2 linked regions of the Sus scrofa genome follow. The protein of the gene in region 1 binds, or shares a complex with, the protein of each later gene. Links are inferred from orthologs where the notes say so. Each region holds a gene or a part of one and is shown in the gene's direction. Other genes may lie near its edges. The genes, in order: ITGB1 and FERMT2.

What was found.
Region 2: the proteins of ITGB1 (region 1) and FERMT2 are in contact, whole or in part, in a crystal structure (PDB 8TEE), measured with the Mus musculus proteins. The link is inferred for Sus scrofa from reciprocal best matches to the Homo sapiens genes ITGB1 and FERMT2. Residues at the interface, in NP_034708.1 of Mus musculus: Ala786, Val787, Thr788, Thr789, Val790, Val791, Asn792, Pro793, Tyr795, Glu796, Gly797; in NP_666166.2 of Mus musculus: Phe609, Ser610, Asn611, Met612, Lys613, Gln614, Trp615, Asn616, Val617, Asn618, Trp619, Glu620, Ala629, Asp630, His647, Ile654, Ser657, Thr658, Lys674, Leu675, Ser677, Gly678.

Annotation. Positions count from the first base shown.
Region 1 is NC_010452.4:56,127,682-56,131,965, reverse strand, and holds the start of ITGB1 (integrin beta-1), read left to right. Parts: upstream 1-1,454; 5' UTR 1,455-1,597; intron 1,598-4,284.
Region 2 is NC_010443.5:182,603,828-182,608,261, reverse strand, and holds the start of FERMT2 (fermitin family homolog 2), read left to right. Parts: upstream 1-1,371; 5' UTR 1,372-1,647; intron 1,648-2,241; exon of another isoform or gene 2,242-2,350; intron 2,351-2,688; exon of another isoform or gene 2,689-2,896; intron 2,897-3,303; 5' UTR 3,304-3,312; coding exon 3,313-3,469; intron 3,470-4,434. UniProt on the Homo sapiens protein: Scaffolding protein that enhances integrin activation mediated by TLN1 and/or TLN2, but activates integrins only weakly by itself. Binds to membranes enriched in phosphoinositides.

The DNA of each region.
Region 1 (4,284 bases):
GTTACTACAAGTTATTGAATATAGCTCCCTGTGCTATAAGTAGGAAAATTGTTGTTCATCTGTTTTGTATATAGTAGTATGTACATATTAATCCCCAACTCCTAATTTATCCCTTCCCCCACCCTTAACTATAGGATTATTTTCTGAGTCTGGTTTGTTTTGAAACCAAGTCCATTTGTATCCTCTTTCAGATTACACAAATAGGGAAACATGATTTAGTCCGTTAACTTTGGTCATCTATTAAACGGGAAAAATCATTCCCATTTCTTTAGAGGTTCCCAGAGATTACCTAACCAACAGATTTGATTTTGCTGGTAAGCAATGAACAAAGTTTCCATAGATGGGATTGTGTGAGCTTCTTTTAAGGTTGGCAGCTAAATGGGCATCGCGGCTTCTAATCTCCCCCAAATGAAACACTACTTCTCCATTTCACAAATCTCATAATTCGAGTTCTATTCCCAACAGGGTGCTCCAGCTCACCACGTGGCGAAGCACATTTTCTGCTAACAGGATGGCAGCCTGCCAGCAGCATAGTCAAAGTGACTGGGTTTCAGTATGATGCCGGTTGGCACAGGTTTCATTCCTCTGATTAAGAAGTGCCCAGCCTTGCTCATAATGAAATGTTTCTCTTCTCGTGTTTTAAACGTCCCTTCTTCTGCAGCCCCCCAGCCCACCTACTAAAAAAACTGAGGATAAACGGAAACCGTATCAAGGAGGAAACTTCCTTCTCATCCGCGTTCCCCATAAACGGACGTCCAGATTAACCTAACAAAAGCTGCTCTCCAATTTACTTTTTCTCTAAAACTTTTCTCTTTCTGGGTCCCCATCTCCTCCCTAAGTCTCCCCCTTTCTCAAAGACGTAAGTCAGGCAAATCCTCACGCCAGAAAAATACTGGCTTTAGCTCCTTCCCTTCCAAAAGGAAAACGTCTTGGGCCCCAGGAAGCCCTGCAAGGTGCGTGATTAAGTGTCTTGATTTGCGGGAGTCTCCGGCGGCTCCCTGGAGGCAAGGCTTCCAAGGTTCAAAACCAGGCAGTCCCGGGCAGGACAGACGTGCGGCCTTAGGAAAGCAGCACCTAAGACAAGGCAGGAAGAAGGCTCCAGAACTTCTCACGGGAGGAGATTAAGGCGCGCTGGGCGGCGCAGACCCTTCCTCCCTGGGCAGCTAAGGAAACTGAGGCACGGCGAACGCTGCGGCAGAGACCCCCACCACCGGCGCCCGGCAGGCCCGCTCCTTTGTCCCAGCGGCCGCCCTCCCCGCCCCTCCTCCACCTCCCACCCCGCGTCCCTCCCCCACCCCCGCCGCGCGGGCGCGGCTGACGCCGCCCGGCAGGAATGCGCTTCCGGAGGGAGAGGGCGGCGGCGGCGGCCTGAGGAGCTGGATTGCCGCGCGGAGGAGGCGGTGCCGCGGGGGTCGTTTCCTGCCAGGAGGCGGCCCCGCGTCGCCGAGTCTCCTCCTCCCGCCCGCGAAGGAGGAGGAGCTGCCGCCGCCGCGCCCGCGCCGCAGCCGGGGAGGCCACGCCAGCCCTCGGACAGGCCGAGCGGGAGTCGCGGAGCGCTGGTGGAGCCGACCGCGCGGGCCGGGCGCCGCGGGAGAAGGTGGGCGCGGGCGGGCGGCGGGCTGGGTGCGCTGCCGGCCCGGGGCCCCGGGGCGCGCGTGGGGGCCGCGGCCTGGGGGCGGATTCCAGCCGTCGGGCGGGGGAGGAAGTCGGGCCGCGCCCGCTCCCGGCTTCGCTCTCCGACTGTCCGGCCGGGGGAGGTGGAGGGTGCGGGCCGGCCCAGGACGCTGTCCGCGGGAGGCCGCGCTTGCGGAGGCCCGGGGCCAGGATCCGCCGCTCGGACACCCGCTGTGGGCGCCACCCCGCCGGCTGGGCGCCGACAGGCCTTCGCGGGCCGGCGTCCTGGGAGCGGCCTCGGCCCCGCCGCCTTACGCGGCGGGTCGCGCGGGTGCCGGGCCTCCGCGCGGGGACAGCTCCGCCTCGGCTCCAGCTCTCCGGCGTTGCTCGGAGAAGGGGCGCGGGGTCGGGCGTCCTGTGGGCCCCTTTCCCCCCGAGGCTGGTTGTGGGCGGCGGTGCGAAGGGCTAACCCCAGCCGCTGCCTGATTCGTGCGGTTGCTTAGGCTTCATAACAAGTCGTATTTTTAAGAATGCCAGTATTTAATGCCCAAGTAATTCTTGTTTTATCGGATGTGTGTTTTGGATCAAAATCTAGCGCTGGTTGGTTTGGTCCCTAGTAAATTAGACTCTTTAAGGTTCCATTTCCTCTGCTGTAAAATGGGAGCAATACCGACACTAATAAGAAAACGTAATTGTTATAATAACGGCATAAGTGAGGGCCATGCTTAGCTCTACACACTTCACCTGTATTTTCTCGTTTAACCCTGGATCTGAGCCGACCAGGTATATGCTGTTTTTATCCCTGTTTTCCAATTGAAACCGACACACCAGGAGCCTGGGTGATCATCCAGCTGTAGTGAGGAGAACCCATGGGGTCTAGCAGACGTTGTTTGAACCACAAGTAACCTTGCATAAGTACCGTGTAGTGAAAAGCTAATGGAAAATGGAAAACACTTAGCTTAGAGTAGATGCTCAATAAATATCAACTCCTTTTCGTTCCTTCTTGTTTTTTTTTTTTTTTAAAGTATGCCTGTAGTTGATAGCATCATTAGTAAGGCGTTTTGGAGTCTGCGTTCCACATAAATATTTAGGGGAGTAGAGTTACTGGAATGTTATTTTTTATTGTTTTGGTGGTACAAAAATAACCAATGCTAAATGTTTTGATGAGGCATCTTTCTTCAACTGCATGCAGCCTTTCCAACAGGTTGCATAAATAGACCACTTGAGAAATGATTAAGGGATTTTAGTTGCAAGTTACCTATTCTAAGTCTGTGAATATCAAGGCCATAGGGAGGGTCAGGGCTTATTTAAGAGTCCTACTGTAATGTTCATATTTGAAAATAATTTTAGTCCCTTGTTTAATAATAAATGAGTGAAGAGGATTAATAAATAGAAAACACGTGAAACAAATCAGTGTTCTGGTTATAGATGTCTGAGGAGACAAGACATTTTACTCACCCTAAAATTCAGTATAAAATGGAAGATGTTAGAATGCTAGTTTAAAAGATAGGGGATGTGGTTAATACTTTACTTCTGTAAATAGAAAACAAACTCCAAATCAAGTCATCTGTGTTGAGGTCACAGACCTAAACATTTAAGCTTTTGTAATGTTGATTCCTTTTAGAAGAATGTTAAAAAATACTCTATATTAAGATTGTTTTATAATCCCGTCAACATCCTGCATGTGAAAAGAATCGAATCAGCAATACTGAAAATCACTGGATTCAGGTGGCTTTTTCCTCAGTTTTCTGGTCGGTATAATTAAAAGCTGCCCCAAATTAGCATCACATGTATTTCTTTAATGGGGTGGATGAATTCCTAACTCCTGGAGGGACTCTGGGGCTGTAAATAGTGAAAATCAGTTTAAGGTGGTGCTAGTTTTCATGGAATGATGGCCACTTAGTAGCTTTATTGTTTGGTTTCTTGCCAAATTGTGGCTTCTATCATCAAGGGGTAATATTCTATCTGAAGGAAATATATGTTTTTAATTATTTCACAAGGACACTGGTTTGTTCTCTGCTGGAATGATGAGAGGACACATCTCTCTGGTAAAAGTTTCAGAACTTTTGAGTTCTGAGAATGGACATTTCTGAATGTGTAAGAAATTGAATTAGTTATCTGAGAGGATTCATAGGGACTGATTGCCCCACTCTGGATGGAGAGGTAGGATCTGTCTGGTTGTGAGTAGATTCCTAGAAGATCATATTGTGCACGTAGGTAAATGTCTTGTTGTATTAGCAGGTCTACTCTGACTGTGATGTGTTGTGGGGTTTTTGTCCTTTTATATTGTTGCACAGGTGGGGGTATTGGGGTAGGGAGGATGCGCCGACAGGCGTGAGAGTAGGGAAGAGTATATTAGTCTTTAGAACCTGAAATGATAGCAGCATCTATAGCTGTAGAAAACTGCATACATTAAGAGTATGTATCTAGGCTAAAGGAAGTGCAATCCCTATAAACCCCAGCCTTAGAATATTTCAATAGATGAGTGAAAAAATGTAGTATATCTTTTTCAGAAGATGTATGCAAAAGGAGCCAAGCTATACTTTGTGAATTTCTCATCTTTTTTTAAGACTAATTATCTTACACAGAGTTAAGTTTTATATATAAAATAAAAGTCAACTGCCTTAAAGCTGTATTTTTGGTTTGTGGCTTTAGAAGACAAGGTTAACT
Region 2 (4,434 bases), on another chromosome or scaffold:
CTAAACTAGTAAAGTCTCTTATAAAGCAATAATTAAGCTGTTTCAAATGCTAAGAAATGGGGCTGTTATATGCAATGTTATCCCACCCCCTGCTCCCTCTCCTTTAGGAAACACTCAGAGAAGTGGGCAGCAGTCAGAGAAGTCGGCGAGGTGGTGGGAGATTGTTCAGAAAGTAACTCACTGAAGAGTGAGGCAAGAACCAGAATGTGGAAACTGAGTAGTAAAATGGTTTCTTAGACGACAGTTGACTTCGACAAATTTGTCGGAAGGAAAGGATGTGCATATTTTTGGTTCTGAAAGGCATGTTTGAGAAACCATAGTTATTCGGAGCTTATGGGAGCACTTGCAAAGGTCTTAAGGTACAATTCTTATCTTCATTCCCGGCTCCATTTTAAATCTCGAACCCTTGCTTCCTGTCCTTTTTTTCCTCCTTGTTTTGTGCCATGTATGCTATCTCAAAGTTTATGTATCCTTATACATTGCCACACATCCCTGCGGGGATAAAGTGTAGAAATAAATATGTAGATTTACAAGTCAGGACTTCCCCGGTACTGAAATATCTCCATGGGGCAGAACTAGTGTGTCCTGGACATCTGTGTTAATTTGATACCAGCATGTTTTCCATTTTCTTTGTGCAGTGCAAAGAATCTGAAGTCCCTGCTATCCAAGAACTTATAATTTACTGGGGGATTTTAAAAAACACATAAGGAAACCCCCAAAAGTCCTGTCCAGGTGTCCAATAGCTACTCTATCAGTTGTGTCTATCGTTTTGAATGTAATGGCATGTCCATGGAAATTGATATGCTGAATGTAATTCAAGGCAGTAACAGACAAGTCTTGAATGCAAAGCCTGAATGAAAATGAAGAAGAGGGAAAAACAAAACAACAACAAAAAAAAACTCTTATTATCTCAACACCAGAGAGCTTCTTAATATTTTGGTGTATTTCCTTTCAGTCTTTTTTCTCTGCTCTGAATATTTAAGACAAAATATGCTCGTGATTTTACAACTACATGTACATATTTTTTAACCCTAACAAGTTTTTCTCTACTTTATTAAAAAACATTTTCCTCGATATTTTCAACACCGCAATTTACATAGACGTTCCCTCCTCTCTGGTTGTCCATACTGCTTCCAAGTGAATGATTTGGAACATCCATGAGTAGAAATAGAGATTAGAGACTACAGACTCGAGGCATCAATTTCTCCATGATGAGTAGCTGAAAATACTGTAGTGTTTTACCCTATTTTTGGTGCCAAACCTCTGGCATCTGACTAAATTTCGCTGCTTCTCTTTCATTCTTTTATGGGTTCCACCCCTTTCTTGAGGCCTCTAACCTCGTTTCCCAATTGTGTTGCTGAACACATCGTTGTTTGCGGGGAGGGGGAGGTCCTCTTCGAAGAGACTGACACAGGTTCAAGAAGACTTTGAGACTTTTAAAAACTGGGGTCTTTTATGGAATCTGGGACATTTTATCCGAGTCTCCCTGACTTAAATTTGTTGAGCCATGCTTTTGCCAGCGAGGCACTTTCCCCCGCTAGCTGCTTCTGACTGGCTCCCTCTCCCCAGAGTGTGGCAGTAAAAGGGGGAAGTGGAAGAAAATTGGGAGCAGGAGGACCGTTCTCCATCACTGGTCAGCGTCAACAGGTAAAGCTCTTTATTTCTTCCAGTACCTGCTGGCCCCGGTCCGGAGCTATTAAAATTCCTTCAAGGTGTGGCTGAGGGTGGGGTAGAGGATGTATATCGATCTAAACGCCTTAGTAGACTGTTAGTTCTAAATTGCATATTTAAAAACATACAAATACGTACAGAGTTGAAGAGGCTGCAGAAACAGTTTTCGAATAAAACTCACTTCCCTGATTTGCACTCCCCCCCCATACGAGCATCGTAGAACCTATGTGACTCACTTCTGGTTGGAGCTTCCTAATGGGTTAAGAGCGCAAGCAAACTCTTAGGAGTCCAGTAGGAGTTGCTGGTTGTGCCGGACATTGCTTGCAAAGCAATTTTTGTGGTTCAACTCCCTTTGGGTTTTTTCATTCTTTTGTCGGATGTTCACGGAGCTGGCTTGGGCATTTACTTTTTAAAAGTTTTTATGTCCCCAACCCCCAGTTCCAGCTCCCGGAGAGCGGCACCTCTCATCGCCCCGAGACTTTTGGGCTCGCTCCAGACGTGGGGAGGGGGCGGGGGACTTTGTTCCCTGAAAACGACCTTGTCCTGGGAATTTCCTGTAACCATTTCTCACGGACCGGCCCCCTCATCCAGCTGGAAGCCAAGACACCCGCCGCCGCGGGCGCTCGCCGAGCCTGAGACCCGAGCGCTGCAAGGAGCGCCCAGCGCCCACCCGCGCTGGGTAGGAGGCTTCTGCGTTCCCCGAGCTCCCCCTCCTCAGGTCCCGCCGGCGAGAGCCCGGATGTTGGACTCAATCCCTACGCCGGGTCCTTCATTTCCATAAAAGGGCAGCGGATCGGCGGGGCCGAGATTGCTGCCACCGCGGGCGCCCCCCGCCTCCCCCGCACAGCTCGCTCCCCCGCCGTGCGCCGCCCCGCCCCCCACCCGGGAGTCCAAGCGGCTCTGGCCCCCAGCGGGGCCGCTGGGGACTGTGGGGGAGGGGCGAGGCGGCTGGACCCGCTGCGGGCAGCTCCGCGGGGCGGGGAGGAGGGAGCTGGCGCGCCCGGCCTGAGCTGGACTGGGATTGAGGGGGCGGGGAGAGAGGGGTGGAGCACGGAGGGAGAGGCGAGGGGCCGTGAAGAGCGGACTCCATTAGTCGCTCCGGCCGGGAGGCAGCGCTTGCCTGCTGAGGTGGGGACCCGACGCCGCCGCTCGGCGAGCCGCCGCCCCCGCGCCTGTTGCAGCGCGAGCCCGGGCTTGGGAGCGCGAGGAGCTGGAGGAACGCGCGGTGAGGGGCCGGGCCGGCGGGGACTGAGGAGGAGGGCGGGTGGGGGAGCGGACTGTGCAGTCCGCGGGCGGCGTCTCCCGCCCTGGGTGCGGCCGGCAGGCAGGTGAAGCCCGCCGCGGTCCGCTAGGCGAGGGCCGCTAGCCTGAGGCCGCGCGGGGCTGGCGGGCGGGCTGCGCCGCGTCCGCCAAGGGCCGCGGCGGGGCGGGAGCGTGGAGCGGCCGCCGGGAAGCGGCGCGGGGCGCAGAATCCTGCCCGCAGCAGGGCCTGCGGCCGCTCTCCCGAGTTGGTGCGGAAACCCTCGTGTCTTCCACCTTCTCCCACCCCGCGGCCGACTCTGCGAATTCGGTGGGATTTGCCTTCCTTTGGGGGAGTGACGCTGACGAGAGCCATTTCCTCCGTGCTCGCAGGAAGGAGCCATGGCTCTGGACGGGATAAGGATGCCAGATGGCTGCTATGCGGATGGGACGTGGGAACTGAGCGTTCATGTGACGGACCTGAACCGCGATGTCACCCTAAGAGTGACCGGGGAGGTGCACATTGGAGGGGTGATGCTCAAGTTGGTGGAAAAACTCGGTAAGTAGCATCCCAGCCGCGTCAGAGTAACGACTTACCAGACTAGAGGCGGCGGGCGGCGGGTGGGGGAACTTAAGGCGGGAGGAGGGGTGAGTTTTGGAAATCTTCCTTGGCATCCCGAAAATACTGTTTTTAAAAAAGTGTAACATCTTTCAGTATTTAGAGCGTTTTCCCTTTGAATCTTGTTTTGTATTGTTATTCTTTGAAGTTTTCATAACGTGGTAATTCCAGCCTCCCAGTTAATAAACTTAATTACCTAAGAAAACTCCTAATTCTTTACATTTAGCGATTTCACATTAAAAGAAATGAGAAAAGTGGGCAAGTGAATATTGAGAAGATTATATCACAGGGTTTGTGGTTATCGATTACTATCATCAGTGTACCTGAATGTTGGTGACATTTGGTTCTGAGGATGATGTAAAATCTATTTAAGAACAAATTCTGCCGGAAAATGTGCAACTTCTGGCGCCAGTATGATGGTTTTGTAGCTGTACTGCTACGTGATGGAGTATATTAAAATGTTCCAGTCATCCACTCTTTCAGGGGTGGGGCATTTTTTGACTATCTGTAGTCTAGTCTTTAAGCTATTTTGAGCGGTTTTATGTAAGTAAATAACAAGCTAGTGAGGAATTTTCTCTGTGGCTCAGGGGTAAGAAACCTGACTAGTATCCATGAGGACGAGGGTTCAATCCCTGGTCTCGCTCAGTGGTTTAAGGATCCGGCATTGTCGTGAACTATGGTGTAGGTCGCAGAGCTGGCTCTGATCCCAGGTTGCTGTGGCTGTAATGTAGCTCTTATTCGACTCCTAGCCTGGGAGCTTCATATGCCACATGTGCATCCCTAAAAAAAAAAAACCCAAAAAACACCAAGCTAGTGAAAGAATTTTGTTTTAAAAAAACAGACATTCTTGAACTGATTCGAGATAGACAATATTTTCTTGGGTACAAATACACTGATTTAAAACT